Bombyx mori: one gene and its partners. The main gene of each other region encodes a partner of the protein of the gene in region 3 in a complex. Links are inferred from orthologs where the notes say so. Each region holds a gene or a part of one and is shown on either strand. Other genes may lie near its edges.

The links.
Region 1: peptidyl-prolyl cis-trans isomerase H (region 3) and U6 snRNA-associated Sm-like protein LSm2 share a complex: the UniProt entries of both Homo sapiens proteins name them as parts of the U4/U6-U5 tri-snRNP complex. The link is inferred for Bombyx mori from reciprocal best matches to the Homo sapiens genes PPIH and LSM2.
Region 2: peptidyl-prolyl cis-trans isomerase H (region 3) and U6 snRNA-associated Sm-like protein LSm4 share a complex: the UniProt entries of both Homo sapiens proteins name them as parts of the U4/U6-U5 tri-snRNP complex. The link is inferred for Bombyx mori from reciprocal best matches to the Homo sapiens genes PPIH and LSM4.

What each region holds. Positions count from the first base shown.
Region 1 is NC_085129.1:20,029,923-20,032,086, reverse strand, and holds U6 snRNA-associated Sm-like protein LSm2, read left to right. Parts: upstream 1-1,204; 5' UTR 1,205-1,277; coding exon 1,278-1,565; 3' UTR 1,566-1,645; downstream 1,646-2,164. Other genes in the region: protein suppressor of forked, read right to left, coding at 347-376. UniProt on the Homo sapiens protein: Plays a role in pre-mRNA splicing as component of the U4/U6-U5 tri-snRNP complex that is involved in spliceosome assembly, and as component of the precatalytic spliceosome (spliceosome B complex).
Region 2 is NC_085117.1:3,991,992-3,994,812, reverse strand, and holds U6 snRNA-associated Sm-like protein LSm4, read right to left. Parts: upstream 1,346-2,821; 5' UTR 979-1,345; coding exon 559-978; 3' UTR 520-558; downstream 1-519. Other genes in the region: guanine nucleotide-binding protein-like 1, read left to right, coding at 2,663-2,756. UniProt on the Homo sapiens protein: Plays a role in pre-mRNA splicing as component of the U4/U6-U5 tri-snRNP complex that is involved in spliceosome assembly, and as component of the precatalytic spliceosome (spliceosome B complex).
Region 3 is NC_085116.1:6,471,998-6,475,059, forward strand, and holds peptidyl-prolyl cis-trans isomerase H, read left to right. Parts: upstream 1-1,476; 5' UTR 1,477-1,816; coding exon 1,817-1,900; intron 1,901-1,989; coding exon 1,990-2,166; intron 2,167-2,248; coding exon 2,249-2,542; 3' UTR 2,543-2,560; downstream 2,561-3,062. Other genes in the region: coenzyme Q-binding protein COQ10 homolog A, mitochondrial, read right to left, coding at 2,730-3,062. UniProt on the Homo sapiens protein: PPIase that catalyzes the cis-trans isomerization of proline imidic peptide bonds in oligopeptides and may therefore assist protein folding. Participates in pre-mRNA splicing.

The DNA of each region.
Region 1 (2,164 bases), on a different chromosome or scaffold from region 3:
TGATCTTAGCAGACAGCTGGTTCCAGTGTAATCGCTTGTAATGTTGGTTTAGTGGTTGATTATTAGTTTACGTTACTACAGGTCGAAGTCAATGTTACTTAATGGCTTCCGGTTTTGGAGCGCAGTCACAACTCTCTCGTGTTTTCGGTATCTATAAAACTAAGGATCCTCTTTTTTTTTTCTAAATGACTATCTTGTTTAGAACTACACAACAATCGATTGCTAATACATGCACTTATATAAACGAATTACACAACATTCAGGAATATCAAATCAAAAAAGAAAACCTTTGTTCTTTTAGTTTTTAATTATATTCAATTAATGCGACTAATGCGTAAAAACTCACAATGTCGGCGATTTCATCTACAGATGCCATTTTGAAGTTTACGTTTGAGGTTATCTATCTGGTTTTAAGTCCGAGCAACAGTTTTTCGAAGAACTAAGTAAATGAGGTACTGATTGTTTGTGGACACATTACTCTCAGTGTTAAAATCGATTTAAAACAATAAAAAAACACAATTTTCTTTAAAAAATTAAACAACTCAACCAAGCTCAAACGGGATTAGCGGACGCTATAGATTATACATTTCGCTTTAAGGAATTTTATGACCTGGTAATTAAGATCTTTAAGTCATGTCTTATTTTAATTAATATTCTTATTTTTATGAAAAATGTTACAATTATGTAGTGAAATGACATGAAATGAAGATGATTAATTTTAGATATTAATCAACTGCGATGAAATTAAATTAAATTAGATGAGATGAGATGATATGAGATGACATATTCTCAGTAAAATGGTGGTCATTGACTGAGATTTTTTCAGTGGACTTTTTGGAGGATCTCGAGAAGCTATGTCCAGCGGCTTTATTTCATTTACCCACATTTGTACACTTTCACAGATATTAAACAGTCAATAAACCACCATTATCACATTAAATTAGATTACATTATTACATTTAAGCCTGAAGAAACACTAAATAGACAAAATAAAATAAATCACACAGCTTCACTCCTTACGTTCCCGCCAAAAAGTCCCGATTTGTTTTAAAAATTTAAGCACAGGTAACGAAAACGTAGTAAATGCAAGACATTGGAAATGAGATGGTGCTCCTGCACAAAACTAACAAAATTACGGAAAATACCGATTCACACCGCTACAAAAAGCTATTGGCATTGACATTTTATGATTTTGACTTTGAGTTTTAAATGACATTAATTGAAGAACCCAAGCCAAATTACTGTTTCAGCGCGTTTTCAAACAAACAAAACGAAAAATGTTGTTTTACTCGTTTTTCAAATCGTTAGTCGGTAAGGATGTAGTCGTCGAGCTGAAAAATGACCTCAGCATATGTGGGACGTTGCATTCTGTGGATCAATATCTCAATATAAAGCTTTCGGATATAAGCGTGATTGACTCTGAAAAGTATCCTCATATGTTATCAGTGAAAAATTGTTTTATAAGAGGCTCCGTGGTTCGATACGTACAACTGCCGGCTGATGAGGTAGACACCCAGCTTCTCCAGGATGCCGCTAGAAAGGAGGCGACCGTTTCAACAAGATAGAACTTAACCTAACCTACAACTTCAATTTAAAGTGTACATATTAATATAAGCTTAAGTTTCTTAATAAATCATTCTTATAATATAGTGTTTTAGTAGCGGTCTCCGGATATTCATTTCAGAAAAGAAAGTTTCCTTTGATCGAAAAATAACCTAGTTCTTCAGTTTTATGTAAGTTTTATACCAGAGTATGAAAGAATAATTTATCAATAAAAAACATCTATATTTTTACCATTCTCAAAAATGTATCACAGAAAAAAGTTTTTATTACCTTTCACATCAAACTATACTGATAATTATTAGACATAGCTGCATTCCTTAATACTTAAGCCTTTTTTCAAACCAGAATTGATTTAGATCTCTAGTGTACATAATTTGGATGTAAATATTTACAAAGCTGTTATTTTGGATTTTTAAGATATACTTTTTCTGAAGATGGCCATGTCATAGTTTTCCATAGGCAGAAGGGATTGTAAAAGCATCATTAAAATATGTTGCTTGCCAAACACTGAACCTTCCTGAAACCTGAACCTTTTAAACCTTCTCTGGACTTCACGAATAATTCAAGACCAAATTTAGCCAGATCGGTCTAGCCGTTCTCG
Region 2 (2,821 bases), on a different chromosome or scaffold from region 3:
TTCTATTCAAATGTGATAACTCTATCTGTATCAAGTTTCAAGGATCATCATTAAAATATTGCTTTTACACTGTTTTTTTTTACTCTGTTTTTTACCATTTCATTAATGGGTATTGCCATATTATACAATAGTATTATTACTTTAAGCGTTTTTTGTAAATAAATGATTTCAGTATACTTTGATTTTTTTTATATATTGACACGAATTGAATAGTGTGAAAACCAATTAAAGATATAAAACAAAAAAATGTATTTTCTTAAAATATCAAGAAATAATAAAGTTGTATCCCATTTTAGATTTAACAGAGATATGGGTAGCTTAAATATTTTATATTAATGGATTGATGAATTCATAACTACCTGTGCATCTGCAGTTTCCAAATTATTTAGATATTATTGATTTTCAATGAATTCTACATCAGGATTATGACTAATAAATAATCTTGGATTTGGTCAAATATATGGTTGCTTTGCACCAGCATGTATGGAGGAATTTTGAACTTTAAATGAAACAAAACTATTCCTTAGCCAAATAACTTAATTTATTAAAAAACTTATCTTACATTTTATTTTTATTTTTGTTCTGTGGTCGCGGGTTCCCGCCGCCACGGGCTAGTGGAGGTGCTCTGCCGCGGTTACCGAATGCGCCTCGGCTACCACCACGGCCACCGGTCCTCATGTTTTGCCCGCGTCCCTTGGAAACCTCGTTACGACCGCGCGCTTTAACCTGTGTCTCCTCCTTCACCATGTCGATGACCTCGTCCGGTATTCTCAAGTATTTGATCGTACTACCACGTATATAACATTCCGGCATCCTCCAGAACTTGTCGCCGTCTCTCGACGTGCAAATAACTTCACGTAAATTAATGTTCATCCAATTATCGCAGCTTACGAGATGACCATTGTAAGTTTCGCCATTTTTCAATTCGACAAGCATAGGGTGGTTCTGCGCTGTCCGTAACAAAGATAGCGGCAACATTTTGATGTAATGATCAACTTCGTTTTGAAGTTTATTATTTATTTGTATTAGAAGTTTATTTTCCTACTTTCGCGTTGTTTGGTGTATTGTCAACTTCTTGTTTTTTTAGGTTACTTTAGGACTTTAGGTTGACACTGACAGTGCTCAGTTGTCAGAAGACGCACAGATAATACACTTAATATTTGAGAAGAAGTGAAAATTGCTTCAATGGTAATGTAATGAAGTTTGTGAACAAGAATTTACAAGTAGACGAGTCCAACTGGAGAGTTAAGGGACAGTTCTAGTAGTAGTGAATCTTGTGATGATGATGAATAATAATAAAACAATTTACGTTGCACACCATTGTATTAGTAATAAATAATTAGAAATCTCATTCCTGGTTTCAATTTATTCTAAAGGTGAACCCGTCTACAAAAATTGCATTCAATAGGATAAATGATGAAAAAAAAGAACGTATCGAAACTGGTGTTGAAGGGTTTTGTTGCTGAACTTAATAGTTAAATGTAATGTAACTTTTTTTGTTTTAATTTGACCATACAGCTTACTGTCCATGCAACTATCAATTTCTAGTTCCATGAGAATAAATCTATGTTCGATAATCCAAAGTCAATGACTTTAGCATCCTTACTGTGAGCTGTCAAAATTATCATAAATTTTTACTTTTTGGCGGGAACGCGGGGAGTGAAGTTGTGTGATTTGTTTTATTTTGTCTATTTATTGTTTCTTCAGGTTTAACTGTATAATATCTGTGAAAGTGCACAAGTGTGGGAAATTGAAACAAATCCGCTAGACGTAGCTTGTTGGGATCGTCCAAAGAGCCAATTGAAAAGTCTTAGTAAATGTCCACCATTTTACTGAGATTATATTTCATCCTACATCATCTCATCTCATTTCATTTAATTTCATCTCACTTCATTTCATCTTCATTTCATTTCACTCTATATTATCATTTTTCGTAAAAATAAGAATTAAATAAATTAAAATAAGATTTGACCTAAAAGTTTTAGTTACTAGGTCATAAAATCCCTTAGAAAATATCCTAAATTTGAAAAAAAAAACAGAGTTCAATGCCTTTAATTTGTCGGTCAGCTGTCAATTGTCAATCCTGTGAAAAAAAATGTTTTCAATTGTTAGCCGGTCGGTAGAATAATTTTCATATTCACACGAAAATCAATTAAATAGGTAAAAAGATAATAAGTTCAAGCCCTTCAGTGAGAAATTAGGAATAGATTTCTTGTTTTGAGTCTAACGTAAGTTTGAAACTATTTCTGTACAATTATAATATTCCAAGGAGACCTCGTGTTCCAAATTTTAGTTTTTCTCTTTATTAATTAGTTAAGTTTATTAATTCTTGATTTAATTACGGTTAAAAATCGGTTACGGTTTTTGAAAATCAGATTCTTAATCGCTTATTACGATCAATTAGTTTAGTATATTTGATAAATAATACATTACCCAGTACCTACATTTTTTGAGTTTACACTTACACCTGTAAGCGTTACTTTTGTATCTTCAAATCTGGTCATCAGAGCGAGAAAAAGTATAATGGTAAAATACTATGACGTGATATTCAATAAAATAATTAAAATACCCAGAAAAATATTAAAACTGTACTTGCAGTTCAACAGTTGTAAAGATGTTTACTTCATAATAACATTGTCCATAATTAACAGAGTTACTCGTCATGCCCCAAGCACGTCGGAAGACCCCGTTCAGCGGGAAGGCCAAAAAACAACAACTGCAGTCTAAGAAGCAGAACAAGGTTTTACTCATGCCTAGTACGTATTATCACATATTCGTCCTGAATTTATACAAAATTGAATTAGCTACTACCGCAGAAGTA
Region 3 (3,062 bases):
CCCCGTGCGCCCCCTAGGCACGGGACCTCGTAGGAGGTTCGGCCCCCGCCCGAAAATTATAATAATAATAATAAATGGTTAGGAATTGGACTTGGAAAAAATGAATGACTAAATATTAGAATCAGAAGGAGATTATTGTATGTCTGTATTTTAAACTATACTGATAACTATATAGATGTATATTTTGGAACTTTGCAATATTTATACTCTATTTATTATAATACTATATTTATATAATTAAACTTTATACTTTAAATTTCAAATATTTCATAATCAGACATAATTAAAATGATTACATAAAGTAACTAAGTTTTTTTGAAATCTAGATTAATTAACATAAAAAAGTAAACGAAATGAAACCGACCCAAAGTTTTAAGTTACACTGTGGTGGTTGTTGGCATTCACTTTGTAAGTATTCGTTCCGATGAAAACTTAATATCAGCCAAACATAAAACAATAAATAAATAAAACTGCAATAATATGTATACTTTTTTATCTATTCACTTGAATCGAAAATGAACATTCATCACATCCAATTATTACACTAGATTGCACAAAATTACTTTTATTAAGCACATACACCCCACCACATCTACAATCGTATAAATACACATTTTCATCACTGTCAAACACCATTTCAGACAGTCTTACTGTTTCATAAAGCAATAGATCACTATTTTCATGGCAACTTAATGTAGCATCATACTGTTTCCTGGTGCTAGGTTCTCTTAAAACTGACCAAGCTTTTTGTAATAGGCGAAACTTATTATCAGAATCATCAGTTTTATTTTTATCGGGATGTAATGTCAAAGCGAGTCGCTGATAACTTTTCTTCAATTCTTCAAGGCTTGCTGTTCTATCGCAATCTAGTATTTGATAATAATCAATAGGTAGGTCATTACTTTCCATATTTAATAAAAACTCGTAAAAGAGTTTTATTTATAAAAAATAGTTTACCTCTCTTTAATTCAATTGCTGTTCCCACTTCCCAGTCTTTGATTAGAATTTTTTTGTATTTTATTTATGGCCTGGCCCAGTCTTTGATTGATTGTTTGAAATTCATTCTTTATTGTATTATCTATAATTTGTTCATTGGACGGGCAAAAGGAGATAGACCATACAAATTTCAATACTCTTGTCACAAAACTGTAACCTTTAAATAAATATAAATATAATATATATAAATTTAAATGTATGTTAGGTAAGGGGAATAATGGAATTAAATTAATTGCTCATGGGATAAAATTTAAGGAAGTGAATTAAGAAAGACATCACCGTAGGTATTTGTTAGATAATAAATAAGGTTCCATTAAAACTTATAAGATAGGTATGGCGTTCAAATCTGAAGAAACGCACAATTTACGAAATACAATAATTTACACGACTTTGTCCTTCCCCGAAAAAAAGTCCCGCCCAATATACAATTGTTGACGAATAATACCATAGTCGTCTGTGATCACGAATACTTTATGTAGTTATTCTAAGCGTTAGAAATAATTGAAATTAAACGGTTAGGATAGTTTTATTATTATCTACGATTCGCCGAAATAGAAGAAACTGCTATAATCTTAAAATGTAACAAATTCGCTAAACGTGAAGTTTTGTCCTTTGAAGTCACCAGAAATTCCGTTTTTAGATCTGGACAAATAGGCTTGTAAGCTACCTAATGTCAAGGAAAGGATGTCAAAAGTATAACCTCAAAATTTGACAGCCGGGTAACAATAAACATCAAACAAACTAAAACTTATAGAAGTTTTAAATTGTTAACACAAATGTAATGTTGTTTTAGTAAAAATTTCAATATTAACACATTGAAATGCCTACTTGGAACCAAATACAGTCACAACTTAGGAATCCTAACAATCCAGTAGTGTTTTTCGACATTACTGTAGGAACAACGGTAAATACCTCCCCGAACTTATTGTTTTTTATTAGATTTAAAAGAACACACAAAAATTTATGTTTATAAAATATTTATGTTTATTTTAGGAAATAGGTCGTATGATATTCGAGTTATTCGCCGACGTAGTACCAAAAACTAGTGAGAACTTCAGAGAATTTTGTACCGGTGAATACAGGCGGGATGGTGTGCCCTTAGGTTACAAAGGAGCTACTTTTCACAGAGTAATAAAAGATTTTATGATTCAGGGTGGCGATTTCGTAAATGTACGTATTAAGTTTTGTTTATGATAAAACGATGCCTAACTGAACATGATGGAAGTTTATTAATATTTACTATTCATTTTAGGGAGACGGTACAGGCGTTATGAGCATATATGGTGGAAGCACTTTTGCAGATGAAAACTTTGGTTTGAAACATGACTCTCCAGGGTTATTGTCCATGGCAAATAGTGGTAAAGACACGAATGGCTGTCAGTTCTTTATCACATGTGCAAAATGTAATTTCTTAGACAATAAGCATGTAGTATTTGGTAGAGTTATAGATGGATTACTTGTCATGAGGAAAATAGAAAATGTACCAACAGGACCAAATAATAAACCTAAAATACCAGTAACAATATCTCAATGTGGACAAATGTAAATAAAACTTCACTTTAAATTTTATCTTTTTATTATCATTAAATCACAATGGCTCTGCCTCACATTTCTAACAGACTAATAGATAAAATATAATATTCACAAATTTTTACATAAAGTAATCACAATAAATACTCAATAATTATGTACACTGAATTGAACTAATTTTTTTGGTTTGCAATTAGTAAGCGTCAAGTTTTCAAAGTGTGATTGTTTATTAGTAACTTTCTAGGCTGCATTGTTGCCGGCCCATTGCGCCTTCCGACTTCTTTAATGAAAGCACCTTCCATTTGTCGAGCAACTTGGTCAAAAAACAAATTAGATAAATGTGAATGTATAGCTGATCTAAATTCGAATGTTATCTGGAAGTCCACAACACACGACTGCTGTTCTCTTTTTAGACCAGGACTGAATCTCCAAAGGGTCAACATATGGTGGAAGAGTCTTCCATCAGAACACTCTGCTTTTACCAAATGTGGTTTGACTAGCGTAACATTTGAAGTGTAGCTTTCATTGATAGGAGG